Linked DNA regions of Rhinolophus ferrumequinum. The protein of the gene in region 1 interacts with the protein of each later gene in a pairwise test. Links are inferred from orthologs where the notes say so. Each region holds a gene or a part of one and is shown on either strand. Other genes may lie near its edges.

Region 1 (7,911 bases):
AAGTGAACTCATTCTCTGAGTTCACTCACACTTTCATCTCAAGGGTATACTTTCGTTTTCAACATAACGTGTTTTTTTTTTTTTTTTTTTTTTGCTTTCCTGCAAAACAGAAATAAATAAATAAAATAAAATGCAATGAGACAACCCAATTTTTTTAAATGGGCAAAGACTTCATTAAAAAGATAGGCAAATGGAAAATAAGTACAGGAAAACATGTTCAACATCATGTCATCTGGAAAACAAAAATTAAAACACAGTGAGATGGCACTACATATCTATCAGAATGGCTGATGTTAAAAAGACCGACAATTCCAAGTAAGGAAGAGGATGTGGAGCAACTGGCACTCCCATACATTCTTGTGGGAGTGTAATACCACTTTGGAAAACAATTTGGCAGTTTCCTATACATTTTTACTGACCATCTGACCCAACAATTCCACTTCTACATATTACCCAAGAGAAATAAAAACATGTGTACACAAAATGACTTGTTCATAGGAATGTTCATAGCAGCTTTATTCAAAATAGCCCAAAACTGGAAAAAATCCAAATGTCCACAAGTGAATGAATACATTATGGTACGTCTGTACAATGAAGAGTACTTAGCAAGTATCAAGAACAACCTACTAGTGCGTGCAACCACATGAACGAATCTCAAAAACATTATGTTGAGTCAAAGGAACCAAAAAGACAGATAGGATTTCATTTCTGTGAAGTTCTAAAACTGGCAAAACTAATCCTGAATGATAGAAATTGGATGGGTGTTGCCTCAGGGGGTGAGGAATTGACTGCAAGGAAGTATGAGGGAAATTTCTAGGGTGATGGAAATGTCTATATCTTGATTGGGTGGTGGTTACACTGATGTATATATTTGTCAAAACACATCAAAACTGTACACTCAAAATATATGTATACTACTGCATGTATATACCTCAATAGAGTTGATTTTTTAAACTATATTCTTGACATTTATACATGCTATATTAATAAATACAGGATACTAAACAAATATGTAAATACTATATCTAACAGTATTTCTTGATATTGCAAGTGGAATATTGATCTCATTTACATTTCTAGATGGTTATTGCTAGAAAATAAAGAGGCTATTGGTCTACTTTTTTATACCCAAAGACTTTATCACAGTCTCTTATTCTATTTTTATCTGAAGCCCTTTGGGTTCTCTAGGCACATGATCTATAAACAGCAAAAAGAATAACTTCATCTCTTACTAACTAACATTTATATAGATTATTTTACCTCTCTTATTGCATTCACTAGTCTCCAAAAGAATGTCAAATAATAATGGTGATCATCAGGTGTCCTCTCTTTTCTCTAAAGGAAATATCTCAACATCTGATTGTTTAGAATACTACTCGCTGTTGGATTTTTCATAAAGTGTAAATTTCTAGTTTCTATTTTATTGTGTTAAGGGTGATTTTTAAATTTTGTCAAGTAACTTTTCAGCATTTATCAAATAACATATGGCTTTTCTCCTTTAAACTGGTAAGCAGGGCTAGCTGAGTGGCTCAGGTGGTTGGAGCCCCATGCTCCTAACGCTGTGGTCGCTGGTTTGATTCAAACATGGGCCAGTAAGGTGCGCCCTCTACAGCTAAGATTGTGAACCACAGCTCTCCTTGGAGCAGGGCTGCATTGAGCTGCTGTACAGCTGCCAGGAACAGCCGGTGGCCAACATGAGCGGCTGGCAGCCTACGAATGCCTCAGCCCGGGGTGAGCGTAAGGCTCATAATAACCAGCATGGGCCAGGGAACTGTGTCCTACACAACTAGACTGAGAAACAATGGCTTGAACTGGAGTGGGAGTGTGGGAGGCAGAAGAAGGGGAGAGAAAAAAATAAAAGTGCTGAAGCAATGAAATATGCTTATACATTTCCTAATATTGCCACAGTTTACTTTCCTTGACTAAAACCTCTTGAATTATTCTTTTGATAAGGTACTAGATTCTCTTTTGAATACATATTCATAAGCTAACTTGAACGTTGGGGTTTTTTTGATACTAACTTTATCAAGTGACAGTGAGGCTGGCTTCATGGAATGATTTAGGGAATTACCATCTTTTTCTTTGCTTTAGAATGTAACTATATTTTTTTTAATATTTTGTTCTTTTAAAAGGATTTAACTATAAAATTATCAAGTCTCCATCTTATTTTTATAGATATTTAATCTCCAATTTTTCTACCATGTTTCCCCGAAAATAAGACCAGGTCTTATATTAATTTTTGCTCCAAAAGACGCATTAGGGCTTATGTTCAAGGCATGTCATCCTTAAAAATCATGCTAGGGCTTATTTTCCGGTTAGGTCTTATTTTTGGGGAAACACGATATTATAATTTGTCTCTTCATGTTTCCTACTTGTTGGGTCAGTTTTATTAGGAGGTCATTCATATCTCCTAGGTTTTCAAATGTGTTTTTTTTTTAGTTTCAGTTAGTAATTTGTAATATTTGAATTTCCTTCTGCATCATTACTTCCTTTCTCATGTCTATCTTGTATAATTTTTTTTTTAATCAGGATCAAGAGAGGATTATCTATTTTATTGGTGTTTTCAAAGAATCAGCTTTTGGACTTATTTATGCAAGTTTTGGAGCTTTCTATTTTATAACTTCAGTTGTTATTTTTACTGCTTCCCCATACTACCATTTTGTTTCTAATTAAGATACACAGTAAGTTTATGTATTTTTTTTCTTCTTTAATAATAAAGACATTTAAGCCTATGGAAGGGCCCCTGAAAGCAGCTTTCCTCTAGTCCCACATTTTTTGGACGTATTCTGATTTTACTTGATTATTGTACGTCATTTTAATTTTTATTTCCTTTTTGATCCAAATGTTATTTAGGAGAGTGTTTCAAATGTCCAATATTACAGTTTAAATTATTGGGGTTATTTTTATTATTTATTACTGATTCTGTTGGATTATGATCGGAGAATATGACCTGTAAAATCCCTATTCTTTTAAGTTTATCAAGGTATTTTTTGTGGTCAAGTATGGAATGTTTTTATACACATTCCATGGATCTACCAAATACTCTCTGAACATTTAAATTTATAACCTGCACCACCCACCCACCTTCATTCACATATTCATGGTGCTACTGAGCTAAGTTTCAGCTGCTCACTGCTCCTATGCCCAAGATTGAGAGACAAGGGTTTGTGAATAGAAAAGTAGGCTTATTCAAAATGCCAGCATTTTGAGATGATGGCAGACTACGGTCTCAAAGGCCACCTTTCTGTTCCTAGAACAGTCAGAAGGTTATGTAGGTACACAAGAAGGAGAACAAAGGAAAGGGGGAGTTAGTCATGTGACTCCTCTGGGAGGACGACTCCTGGGGTCTGTTTTATTCCCCCTCGGTTATCTCAAACCTGGTCTTAGGGGTGATTCATATATCATCTGACAGAAAATCACAGTCTGGAATCTCAACCTGGTTGCTGGTGTCGGGATGGCTGAAGGCTGACTCAGTTTCTTGCAAGTTAGTGTTCTGCTGATTAACTAGATGAACAAGGTATGCATGTAGCCTTGGGAAACAGTTATATGGGGCAGTGAGGGAGAGAAACAAAGAAGACAAAAAAATAATAATAAACTACAAAATAAAGTAAATCAAACTATAATTGAGTAAACCAAGCTAGATTGCTAAATCCTTAAAAGTATTCCATCACCCTTACAATGGTTCCCCTTACTTTTTTTCACAGCATATATCATTCATGATCTTATAACAAACTATATAATTTACTTATATAGTGCTTATTGTTAATCTACCGTCAATTTTACAAGAATGTAAAGTCCACAAGAGTTTGGAAATTTTGTCTGTATCATTCACTGATGGATCCCAAAAGCCTACGTTGCCTGGCACACGGCAGGTAGTCAAAGAAATTTGCTAGATAAATAAATCATTACCATGCAGAAAAAGGCGAATCAGGAATACTACTGGAGTCATTCATTCACTAGCATCTGTTCCAGCATTTACTAGAGTCAGAACCTTACTGGTGTTGAGTATATTGTAAACAAGTCTCCGCCCTCACCGAGCCAATAGTCTACTTTTAGGAAACCAGTGAAGGATGCTGTGAATCAATGAGAAATATTTCAGTTTCATAAGTGTACTCTACATTTATTGAATTCAAAATGGCCGCTGTGTCTAACTTTTCGATTCTATTTTCCTTTGCTCCACGCTCCTAATAATTAAAACGTCAGGCTGTCAAATCCCTTAAATGCACAGAGGGAGATTCTAAAAGACACCAGAGTCTTTGCCTAGTAATAGCCCATCAACTGAACTACATTGAATGGTTTCACAAACGCGCACGACTCCAAAACCCAGTTTACTGGGGAGACCCTAGGAAAAATGAAGTGTTCGCAAAGGGTTCAGGCTGTCTTGACCCGCAGAGGTCAAGGTCGGCGGGCCCAGCGAGGAAAGAATCCGCCTCGCCCACCACAGGAATCCGCCAACATTTTGAGTCAACCGAGGGAGGCTGACACCACCAGGGAGCGGAAAGCGCGGGCGGCACGCCGGACCCACCGGAGACCGCCCCCGTCGCGCACGCGCACGCGCACGCGCAGCCGCCCCGCGAGCCCGACTCGCAGACGTCGCCCCGCCCCTCAGACCGGAAGGAGTTGCGGGCGTTTCCTGCGCTCAGCGGCCTTGTGGTTGCCTCGGTGATGTCGTGGGTTCAAGCCGCAACTTTCGTGGGCGATCAAGGAGAACAGGGCGAAGTGTTTGATGAGGAAGCGGACGAGTCGCTCCTGGTGCAGCGGGAATGGCGGAGCCACATGCAGAGACGCGTCAAAGTAAAACTGTGTGGAGGGCGCGGGGATCCCTTGATCTGCTGGGTCGTGGGGAGAGGGGCGCGAAGTTGTGAAGAAGCTGGTTCCGGACATTAGAGGCCAGAGTGGTCCCGGCCCGGCCAGGCGCTGCCCTTCCTACCGCTTACACGGTCCGCCCGCGTCCTGCTAGGATTTCCCAAGGGGTTACTTGAAAGCGTGTGAAACCACAGGGAGCGTTCCGCGATGGTCTGTGGGGTGCGTTAGACGCTGGGTCCGACCAAAATAAACTATCTAAACGTTGAACAGATTACAGTTTAATGAGGACCACAGAGAAAGGGGGTGGAGGAGAAGTGTATAATATATAAACTGACTGTACTAATTATGGCTGTCAGAGGATATGTACACAGTTTACACGGGTTGCTCGAATGGATGAGGAGCCGAAAGTTAGAGCCGGTATTAATCTGTACGGAAAAAGTGAACATAAGAATGTTGTCGAAGGGCAATGAGGGAAAGTTAATACGGAATACCGGTGGCTAAGTGAGGAAATATTAAAGTTAATTTCTTTTTTTATTTCTTAGGTGTGATTTGTCCATTTCTAATTTGTCTAACTATTCAATAAGACTGAGCTCAATACCACACACCCAATTTCTAGGTGGAGCATTCCAGAGTCAGGACCAAATAGTGAGGTCCACTTCTACTTAATATCCTTGCCAACAATTAATTAAATTGCCCGTAAATCTGCTTTTGTTTAATGTTTCACTAAAATAGTATTTGTTTAGCCCAACAACCATGTTGTCAGTTTCAGGAATACTTTATATGAGGCGGGGACATCTGTTATTGAGCATCTTTTGAGTGCTGTGGCACCAGAGGAGGTGCAGGACAAAACCCCTGCCCACAGAAAATTTGTACTTTGATTGAATTTAGGTATCAAGCAAAATTTCTAAAACCAGACTTGTCTTTTTCCTTTTGCTAAACCAGTTTCCTCTTCCTCTACTCCAGTTAATTATTCAAGACTTTCAATAACTCTACTTACTGCTCAGCCTCCTCACCCTCCCACACCAATCCTATCAGTTGCCAAGGGGCCAGACACATAATTCTTCTTTCTGTGTATCTTTTCTGTGATGCCATTGCTAACACAGGATTTTTTAAAAACTGTATAAGAATTAGTACTTTTTAAAGTGTAGCAAATAAGTCTAGACTTCAAAAACGAGATAAACCAATAATACGTTTTTATGAGCATAGCCTACTTTGTGTGGCTGTGCCATATGTTATAGAACCTTATGTTAAATATACACAGGAAAGTCTTATTTCATCAATTTTCTAAATTGGTTCTATGACTTTCAGGGGAAATCTACAGTTGTTCACTTGATGTTAGTTACAGCTGCAATTCTTCATTACTTATTTTTAGGAAGGTTATAGAGATGGACTAGAGGCTGGCAAAGCAGTTACTCTGCAACAAGGCTTCAATCAAGGTTATAAAGAAGGTGCAGAAGTCATTATAAACTATGGACAACTCAGAGGAACTTTGAGGTAATTTTTTAAAACTTGCCTTTAACTTACCTTAAACTTAAATGCTGAATCATTTTAACCTCAGTACTACTGGAGGATTTTTATAAAAGTAATGTGTAAAAATAAAGTGTTAAAATGCTTTTCCTAGTGTTAAATCCACACGAGTGCTACAGAACATAGAATGATAATGCCTTCAAAAAGTCAAAATTGTGGGTTTATCCACTTTAATAAGTGATCCAGGTGTTGTCCTTTATGGCAAAGCAATGATAGAAAGGTGTGTATTTTTTGCAACCTGAACTACCACCAATCTATATATCAAAGTAATTTAAAAGATTTTCAGGTTTTGAATAAAGCTTTTAGTCTTGCACATGTGACAGAACGCAGTATTACAGACTTCTAGACTAGAAGTACATGACAAAAATTACGGCTGGTATATAGAGAAAAATGATACCATTTCCCTTAGTCCTGAACATTGAACACCTGTCAAGACCCCATAGTAATAATGGCATATGGAGCGAGAAGCGTGACAGGGTTGTCCTCTTTGATACATTACACCTTTTAAACCGACCTTGATAGAGAAGATGCTGCAAGGAATTATGGTTTGTGAAAGGGTAAAAAATAAAAATCATCAAAACAAAAAAACTAATGACTGTTTAAGGTTTTAGAAAATTCAATGCTCAGGAATCAGAATTTGTAGTTTACTACAGTAGGAAAATGATCAAGTGTTCATCTTCACATCAAGTTAATCTTTTATAATCTTAGAAAGTTTATCGCTAAATCTTTATATCAATTGATTCCATTTTTAAAACATCATTATTTTTAACAACCATTTTATGTCATGGTTATCTGAACAATCTAAAATACCAAAAATCAAAAGTGCTGTCTGTACTAGAAAAGTAAAGAAAAATATTTATTAGGACTAGAAGAATTCCAACCTTCTTCAAGAAAATGGTTAGCTCAGCAAACAGTCTGTTTGTAACAAAGTTGGGAAAGTGAAGTTGCCTCAAAATTTTTTTTCTAAGCTTCAGTTTTAATGGCAAGCAAATGCTGTATGTGATTAGAACAATGGCTTTCAACCTTGGCTGCACCTTGATATTAGCTAGGACGTTTTAAAAAATAATACCTCTAGAGATTCTGATTTCATTGGTCTGGGGTGTGACTCGGACCTTGATAGTTTTAAAAGCTCCCCGGATGATTCTAATGTGCATCCAAGATTGAGACTCACTAGTTTAGAAGTTGTTTGATATCCTTAAAGGGGAAACTGGTGTATCTTTCTCTAAGTTGTATCCCTTATCAGCAGGAGCTACACAGTCATAAACGGGAAAATCTAAAATGAGGAAAAGTAGATGTGAAGGAGGGGTTATGAATTATAAACAGTTTATGTGATTGAGTCCAATTGTTTAATTTCTATTGAAAGATAATATCCTTATATATATATATTTAAATCCTGTTTTTACCATTGTTACTTTCCTGATTTTGACTTGCATTATTATTAATTCAGTTTTGCATGCTGTTATCTAGAAAAGAAACATATAGGGCTTAGTATCAAAAAATCTAAAAGCCTGTGATTATTTCATTTTTTTCCTATTTAACTCTTGTTTATATTTTCATTCAGTGCTTTGCTCTCCTGGT
Region 2 (7,639 bases), on another chromosome or scaffold:
CTGGCAGGTTTCTTCTTTAATCACGAGCAGAAAAAATGCTACATTTTGTTTTTCACTTGCCTTTTTTTGTCCTAATAAGATGAATGTGTTCCTAGGTTAACAGCTCTAGTTCTCCTTGTCAGGTTTGGTTTGGTTAGTTTTGGAGGCTGCCTGCTATTTTGCTGCAGATACATTAAATAAAAAAAAAAAAATCAATTCCAATAAGCAAACACTTTTCAATAAACTTTGATGAATTTTGTTTTTCACGTTAGTTGTAGCAACTTGGTTCTCCTCGAATTTGACCAAGAAAATGTGAAACAAGTCTATTTTTTTAAAAAAGGCATTTCTGAGATACTCTTTTTATTTTTAAAATGAATTTTTTGGGGGGAAGATTGGGGAACAGTGTGTTTCTCCAGGGCCCATCAGCTCCAAGTCGTTGTCCTTCAATCTAGTTGTGGAGGGCGCAGCTCACTGGCCCATGTGGGAATCGAACCAGCAACCCTGTTGTTCAGAGCTCATGCTCTAACCAACTGAGCCATCGGTCCACCACAAAATAAGTATATTTTTAAAACTGTGTTTTATTTCTTAACATAGTGAATCCCTGAAAGGTGATTATATCTTACCCTTTATACCTTTTGTGATAAATTAAATGTTTAGTAATAGTGTTTTGAAACTACTGGAATACATACAATCAAGGCAGCTTTCAGAGAAACTAAAAATTGAAGCTTAGAAAGCTCTACAGTATCTTTCAAAACCCTTTTAGATAGTTTTCATTGTATCCATACAAATTTATCGTTTCTTATTCCATTTAATTAAGTGGAAAAATTTCAGTTTATAGGATATACACAAGCAAAAATCACAACTCTTTTCTTAAAAATTGACATAACAAGGAGAGATATTAATTCAGTTTTTTGCTACCTACTTTTTATGAGTTTAGTTGCTAAAATGACACCAAATTTGAAACGTATATAAGGATTTTGAAATAAACATTTGCACTTTAAATCTCCGCCTTTTCTACATTCAGGGTCCTATTTTTAAAATCTGGTCTTTATTTGAAAATGAAGCAATTTGTGAATGCAATATCGAAAAATCCAAGATAACGTAATCAGACTTTTTTACCTTTTAGATTAAGAAAATCTGGGTTCAAATCAGTACGTAAGGAACTCAATCAAGGAACCAATGGGGTGGGTGGGGAGAGTCTCTTCAAAGTTTTATTTTCAAACTAATAGTTTGAATCAATAGTGTTGATTTTTGTAAATCTTTCAAAGTTTGCACAATTTAAAACAATTTGAAATTAAAGACTTGTGGACATCTGTATAAGTTTTCATGTCCATAAGTTTTATCCCATAATTGGTCTTTTTTTCCCCTCACCACATATCTGTTTTCCTGTGCCCAAAGAAAATGCAGTATAAAATATACAAAATGCACAATAAAATATTTTCTTGTCTTTTCTTTCAGCTGATAAAATTTATGATAAAAAATGTAATATACATAGTCACTGTTTTTACATATATATGTAAAAGAAGAGTTCTCTTATTAGGGACATGTTTGTAATATAATATTAAGTGGGCAGGGGGAAGGACATAAAATTTTACATATATTAAGATTATTTTCATGCGAAAATTCAAAGGAAAACAATGTAACAAAATTAGCTAAAATTAATCGGTGGCTAGAGTAGTGAGAGAGCAAATTTGTTTGCTTGCTTGTTTTGCTCTTTTTCCAACATTCCAAATTTTTGTGTTTTCGTTTGCTTATGAAAAAAATAAACTAAAAAGGAAAAGACATTTTAAGAACACAATAATACACAATCTGTTTAATTTCATCTTCCAGAAATGTTTTTTATTGGGCTTTTTATGCTGACCTGAGAAACTCATGTTCACTGTGCAAACATGGAATATTCAGAAAAATATAAAAGACAAAAGTTTACGTTCCTGTAATTTTAAAATCTAGGTATAGTCACCGTTAACATGGTGTACTTACTTTCATTCTTTTTAAAAGCATAATTATTTGGTGTAATTGGAACTGGAGTACAGGTAGATTTTTTTTTGTGTTTTTTTCATTCCCTAAACATCAGGAGCATTTTCATTTTCCATGACATTCCTTTTGTTTCAAACATTATTTTTGGCTGTTGCTGACGAGTCTTTGCTGTGAGGATCCTACCATATAGATGTCACCGTTTCACCATTTTGTCACTGTAAGTTGCTTTCTCCTTCTGGCTTTTCCAGATCACACTGCATTGAACATCATTGTACAATTATCACTTTTCTCTGATTATTTTTCAGAGACGAAGTATTAGAAGTGAAATTACTAGGTCAAAATTGAAAACCATTTAAAATACTTTCCTGTCTTTCTACATTACCTGACTAAAAAGTAGTTTTAATTTATGCATCTGTGGGCAATGACAGTATCTTACCATTCTAAAAAAATTTTCTTTTGAACTATTTTAAAAGGTAAAAACTGTATCTCATTGTTCTTTCACTTAGTACTCCTAAGATTACAAGTAAGGCTGTCTTTTTCTTTTGCCAGCCAGGCTTGATCTCTTCTGGGAATTATGTATTCAAATCCTGGCCCATTTTTTTTCTATTTCAATTAAGTTCTTTATAAACCCGAAATAGTATTCCTTTGGTTATAATACTTATGATAAATAAATACCCAGGTTATTCTTTGGTTTTTAATTTTATTACCACAGTTGGTATGTACAAGTTTGTATTTTTGTGTAGTAAAATACACAGGTTTTCCCTTTGTGATTCCCTCCATGGCTTTTCATGTATTAAAAATGCTTTCCCATACTCACCAGAATTATCAAATGTCCTTTAAAAATATATATATAAATATATATCTTTAAATTGTCTGGAACTATTTTAATGAATGGTATGAGATATAAATGGAACTTGACTTTCCCCAAAAGCCAATTTTTCCATTATAGTGACTGATTAAAATATCCTTCCCCCATTAATTTGTGGTTCTTATTGTGTGAGATTTTACGTCTACTAGAATCCCCTTTCAGGCCATTCTACTATATTTCATTCATCTGTCTCTTCTTGAACCAACATGTCACAATATTTTTATTGAAACTTTATCATTTCATATCTGGTAAGTTCTCCATATCATTCTTTTTCAAAAACATCTTAGTTATTCGTATTCATCCAGATGAAATATAGAATTTTGACACATTTCCCCCAGATGCCATAGAATTTTGTTCCTATCCAGGGTCATTCCTAGCCTGCAGCTTTCTTCATATGGATCCTGCTCAAATCTTCTTATTCCTAAGCAATTTATTGTGACTATGGTAAAGAGGATTTCCCCAGTCCTCCCTGCTCAAGCCATGACTATTGTCACAATAACAGAAAGCAAGTGCTTTTTTTTTTTTTTTTCCCCTGAACTCTGTCCAGTTCTGAGAATGTCTCATTTTTTTAAAGTGTATTTTAAGGAGAATACTTCTGGTACTTCATGTCTATGTTCCATTGTCACTGAGTTAGAGGCACCTTCTTAAAAGTGTACTCTCACGGAAAGGACAAATGGGAGAACTAGGGCTAGGTACTACTTACACAAAAGGGGGAGCATGCCTCCTGCTGGAGTGGGGGCACCGGTTGCTCTTAATTCCAAACCCTCTGTACTATTGGATTCTTGACTTTGCATGAATTATGAATCACCTGCTTTTGCTTTAAAAACAAATAAGAGCAAGAAAAAAACCACACACACACACACACACACACACCCCTTTTATTTCAGGCTTTCCAATAACTCTTAAGATTTCAAGAGGGGGTGCCAACATTTATTGTTGCCATTCCCGGCGAGTGTTAAGACGGCGAGGCTGCTTCCCTGTCACCTGCTGCCGTTGCCGATTCTCGAGGGTCCAGTCAGCTTGCGTTTCCTGAACCACGGCCCGCAGTCCCTGGATTACTGTTAACGTGGACTTGGTGGCATTTTAGGCTGCGGTCGGGAGCCTAACGTCGTCCTAGAAGGTGGCCCTTGGCTGTGGGTCGGGGTCAGCGAGCGCGGGGGGACGGGCCCGTCCCCCCTCCTCTGTGTCCTGTCGCCACCCCAGGAATTGCCCTTCCTGGCCATTTTCCACCCCAAATCCCACGGGCGGGCAGCCTCCTGGCCCCGAGCCTCCCGAGGCATTTGTTCTTTGATAGCTTTTCCAGTTTCTTCCCTGGTTCTTTCTGAGCCGCTTTTGGCCATTCGGTTCCATCTGCTCGGTTTTGTAAAACTGAAAACATGGGTCACACCCCCTCCCGCTGCCAGGTGGACGCTCCGGGTTGGGACCCACCGGCCTATTGAGGGAGCCGAGGAGGGAGGGGCGGGGGGCGGGGCCGCGTCCCCGCCCAGCTCCGCCCAGCTCCGCCCCCGCGCACGCGTTGCGAGCCCGCGCCGGCGCCTGCTGGACCCTGCCGCGCGCCGTCCTTACCCGGCCTGCCCCGCGCAGCCGCCGCCGGAAGTGAGTTTCGCCTCTTCGGAAGCGGATGGTCCGCTGGAACCTCGCGGGTCGGCGGCGGCAGCGGCGTGTGGCGGAGCTCCGGGCCAGAGGCGGGCCGACCTGCCGCCATGGCCGGGGATCAGGACCCGTTCGACGCCATCGTGATGGCGGATGACAGGTGAGTGGCAGCCTTCGCTGGGACGGGGACCCCCGCCCCGTCAGGTGAGCTCTGGAGCTGCTGGGCTGCGGGCTGCGGCGGCCGCTCGGGCCTGGTGTCCCGGGCGTGGGGGCCTTGCAGGGGCGCTCTGGGGTCCTGGGAGTGGCGGACACGGGTGGGGCCGAGATGCTCTGGATCCTTCTTTACTCGTCGGCCGCTGGGGCGGGCGCCCGGTGCCCAGCTGCTCCTGCAGACCCGCCTCCGCGGTCGGGCTGCCCCAAGCATCTGCTCGGCCTCCTGACTGCCTTCCTCCAGGGACGCCCCGTCTTCGCGTGCGACAGACCTTTGCCATCTGGGCCCTGCCCCCTTTCCTTGTTCCTTAATGGTAGGACATACGGCGGCATTCATGGCCACGCTGATGAATGTGTGCGACGTCCTCCCTGCCCCTGCGGAGCCCCCGGGGAGCGCGGGGGCTGTGACGCGGGGGCGCTGGCAGTCGCCGTGTGCCTGCCTGTCTGAGCCGGCAGTGGTGTCGGGAAAGCGGACGTGCACCCGTCAGTGGCCGACGTTTGTGTTGTGAATCTGGTACCTTACGTGTTGTACTTTGGTACCTGTTTCAGTCGCCCAGATGAGGCAGGTCACGCAACCAGCAGGCGGGAACTCCTGTCCTTTTTGGTGACTGCAGGTTCAGGCGGTGCCACTTGCCCCCGTTGAGCCCCCAGAGTCAGAGACTTGATTACGCTCCAGGCACCACAGCCCTCGTCCAGGTTGTGGTGCCCTGATGGCATTTCTCTCTGCGCGTCTACTGAGATGTGATGGAAAGCCCTCCATGGATTGCGGGTTTTTTGAAGCAGTTGGTCCCGTCTGGTATCTTACAGACTCCCTGGACTTTGTGCCACCCGGGCTGCACAGCAGGGTCCCCTGGGAAGTTTCGAAAAGTAGATTCCTGGGCCTTAGTTCAGACTTACGCAATGTCTTCGAAGTTTCCCTGTGTGTTTCTGGGGTCCCTCCAGGTTTGGGAGTCCCGAAGTAGCTCGCCCCCCTCATTGGTGAAGAGGCTTCAAGAGATAGGGCGCCTCCCCCCGGAGGAGACTTAGGGAGGGGTAGAGCTGGGAAGGGAGCCGGAATGTTCTGTCTTACGTTTTCTGCTTTTTCTGCTGTGCTGTGCCTTGTCTCGCTGGGTTTGGGTAACGGGGGGGAGCAAAGTCTTCCCGGGAAGAAGACTCTCTCTCCTCTTTATGTGCTCAAGCGTGCTGCTTCTCTGTCCCAGGTTTCACGGGGAAGGGTACCAGGAAGGCTATGAAGAAGGCAGCAGCTTGGGTATCATTGAGGGAAGACAACATGGCACATTGCACGGCGCTAAAATCGGATCTGAGGTGAGTGGGAACCCCTGCGTTGAAACGAATCCTTTTCATGTGCCGTTTATAATTTACTCTGATGGTCGGGATGAGGGAGCCAGAGCGTCAGGCCTTTTAAAATGGCAAGAGACTAGGCAGAATGTTGATGGAGAAATGCGCTTGGTACGGAACTGTATCGAGAGAATGACGTGCGGGTTGGAGAATGACAAAACCCATCCTCGTTCACCTCAGTTTACCTGAATGTCGTGGTGCTGCCTCGGGTCTTAAGCCAGCTGAATCCTCACCCAGAGAATGTCATGTGAAAACATTCCATTTTCATTTACGCCAAAATTCCGTAAAATCTATGATTTGCCTTCTCCTCGGCCCAGTGCCCTCGAGTGGCCCTCACGGACAGCTGGCACTAAATGAAAAGTCTGAGGCAGTCATGACTATATTACATGTCTGTTGCTGCAAAACGAATGGCCACGAAACATGTGGGCTTAAGCCAGCCACCGTTTATTATCCCCCTGGCTCCTGCCGGTCAGGGGTCTGGGAGCAGCGGAGCTGGCTGGCTCTGGCTCCGGGTCTCCTGATGATGGAGCCAGGGCTGCAGGCGTGTGAAGGCTTGACGGGGCTGGAAGAGCCCCTTGTGTGGTGCCGCACACAGCGATTGTTCTCGCCCTGTGGACCTCTCCACGGGGCTGCTTCAGTGCCCTCGTGACACTTGAGCCAGTGATGAAGGCAGAAGTGACCTTGTCTGTGATGCTTAGCCTCAGAAGTCACGTGCTCCCTCTTCCTGAGTTCTATTGGTTACACTGTCCACTCTGGTACCATCAGAGGGGCTGCCCAAGGACATGGTCTGTGGGACCCCCTTGGAGGCTGGCTACCCCACTGATGACCTAATTTCTGTTGCCTGATGCTCAACACATACTTCTAGAACAACAATGTAAGACACCACTGCCCTCCTCCCCACCTATTGTTTTGAGAGTAGGATAATTAGACCAAGGGTAGCTAGTTACTTATTCATTTCTCACTTAAATGTTTTTTAAATTTACAGATCGGGTGCTACCAAGGTTTTGCTTTTGCTTGGAGGTGTCTCCTGCACGGTCGGGCCACTGAGAAAGACAGGTAAAGTTTGAGACTTCTTTTTTTTTCAGTGTGTGGACCAGGAGTTCTAGTTCCATTAGCTTGCTGTGACCTTGAGCAGTTAATGTCTCGGTGTCCTCATCTGGAAAATGGAGAAAATCATCATACCAAACTTGAATGTTGTTATGAGATTCACAGGAAATAGTACAGTAGTCTCCCTTATCTGTGCTTTCAGTCAACTGGGGTCTGAAACTATTACATGGAAAATTCCAGACATAAACAGTTCATAAGTGTTAAATTGGGCACCATTGTGAACAGCGTGAGGAAGTCTCGCGCCGTCCTGCTCCTGTGTGCCCAGGACGTGCATCGCACGGTGTCCAGCGTTTCCACGCCGCAGACTCTCCCGCCCGCTAGTCACTCAGTAGCCACCTTGGGGACCAGCTCAGAATTGCAGGGCTTGTGTTCACGTCACCCTCATGTTACTTAATGGCCACAGAGCGCAGGAGTCGTGATGTCGGCCACTCGGGCATGCTGGAGAGAAGCCATAAAGGGCTTCCTTTAAAACAGTATGTAAGGGTTCGGTGCTGTCCATGGGGTCTTAGAATGTACCCCTGCAGATAAGGGGGGCCTGTAACCAGGGAGTGCCAGGCATGTTTTCAG

The links.
Region 2: the proteins of YAE1 (region 1) and LTO1 interact in binary tests that used the Homo sapiens proteins (3 or more experiments, as listed by UniProt). The link is inferred for Rhinolophus ferrumequinum from reciprocal best matches to the Homo sapiens genes YAE1 and LTO1.

The regions. Positions count from the first base shown.
Region 1 is NC_046303.1:53,279,307-53,287,217, forward strand, and holds the start of YAE1 (protein YAE1 homolog), read left to right. Parts: upstream 1-4,601; 5' UTR 4,602-4,665; coding exon 4,666-4,794; intron 4,795-6,178; coding exon 6,179-6,300; intron 6,301-7,894; coding exon 7,895-7,911. UniProt on the Homo sapiens protein: The complex LTO1:YAE1 functions as a target specific adapter that probably recruits apo-ABCE1 to the cytosolic iron-sulfur protein assembly (CIA) complex machinery. May be required for biogenesis of the large ribosomal subunit and initiation of translation.
Region 2 is NC_046294.1:3,471,772-3,479,410, forward strand, and holds the start of LTO1 (protein LTO1 homolog), read left to right. Parts: upstream 1-4,410; 5' UTR 4,411-4,527; coding exon 4,528-4,577; intron 4,578-5,826; coding exon 5,827-5,932; intron 5,933-6,950; coding exon 6,951-7,021; intron 7,022-7,639. UniProt on the Homo sapiens protein: The complex LTO1:YAE1 functions as a target specific adapter that probably recruits apo-ABCE1 to the cytosolic iron-sulfur protein assembly (CIA) complex machinery. May be required for biogenesis of the large ribosomal subunit and initiation of translation.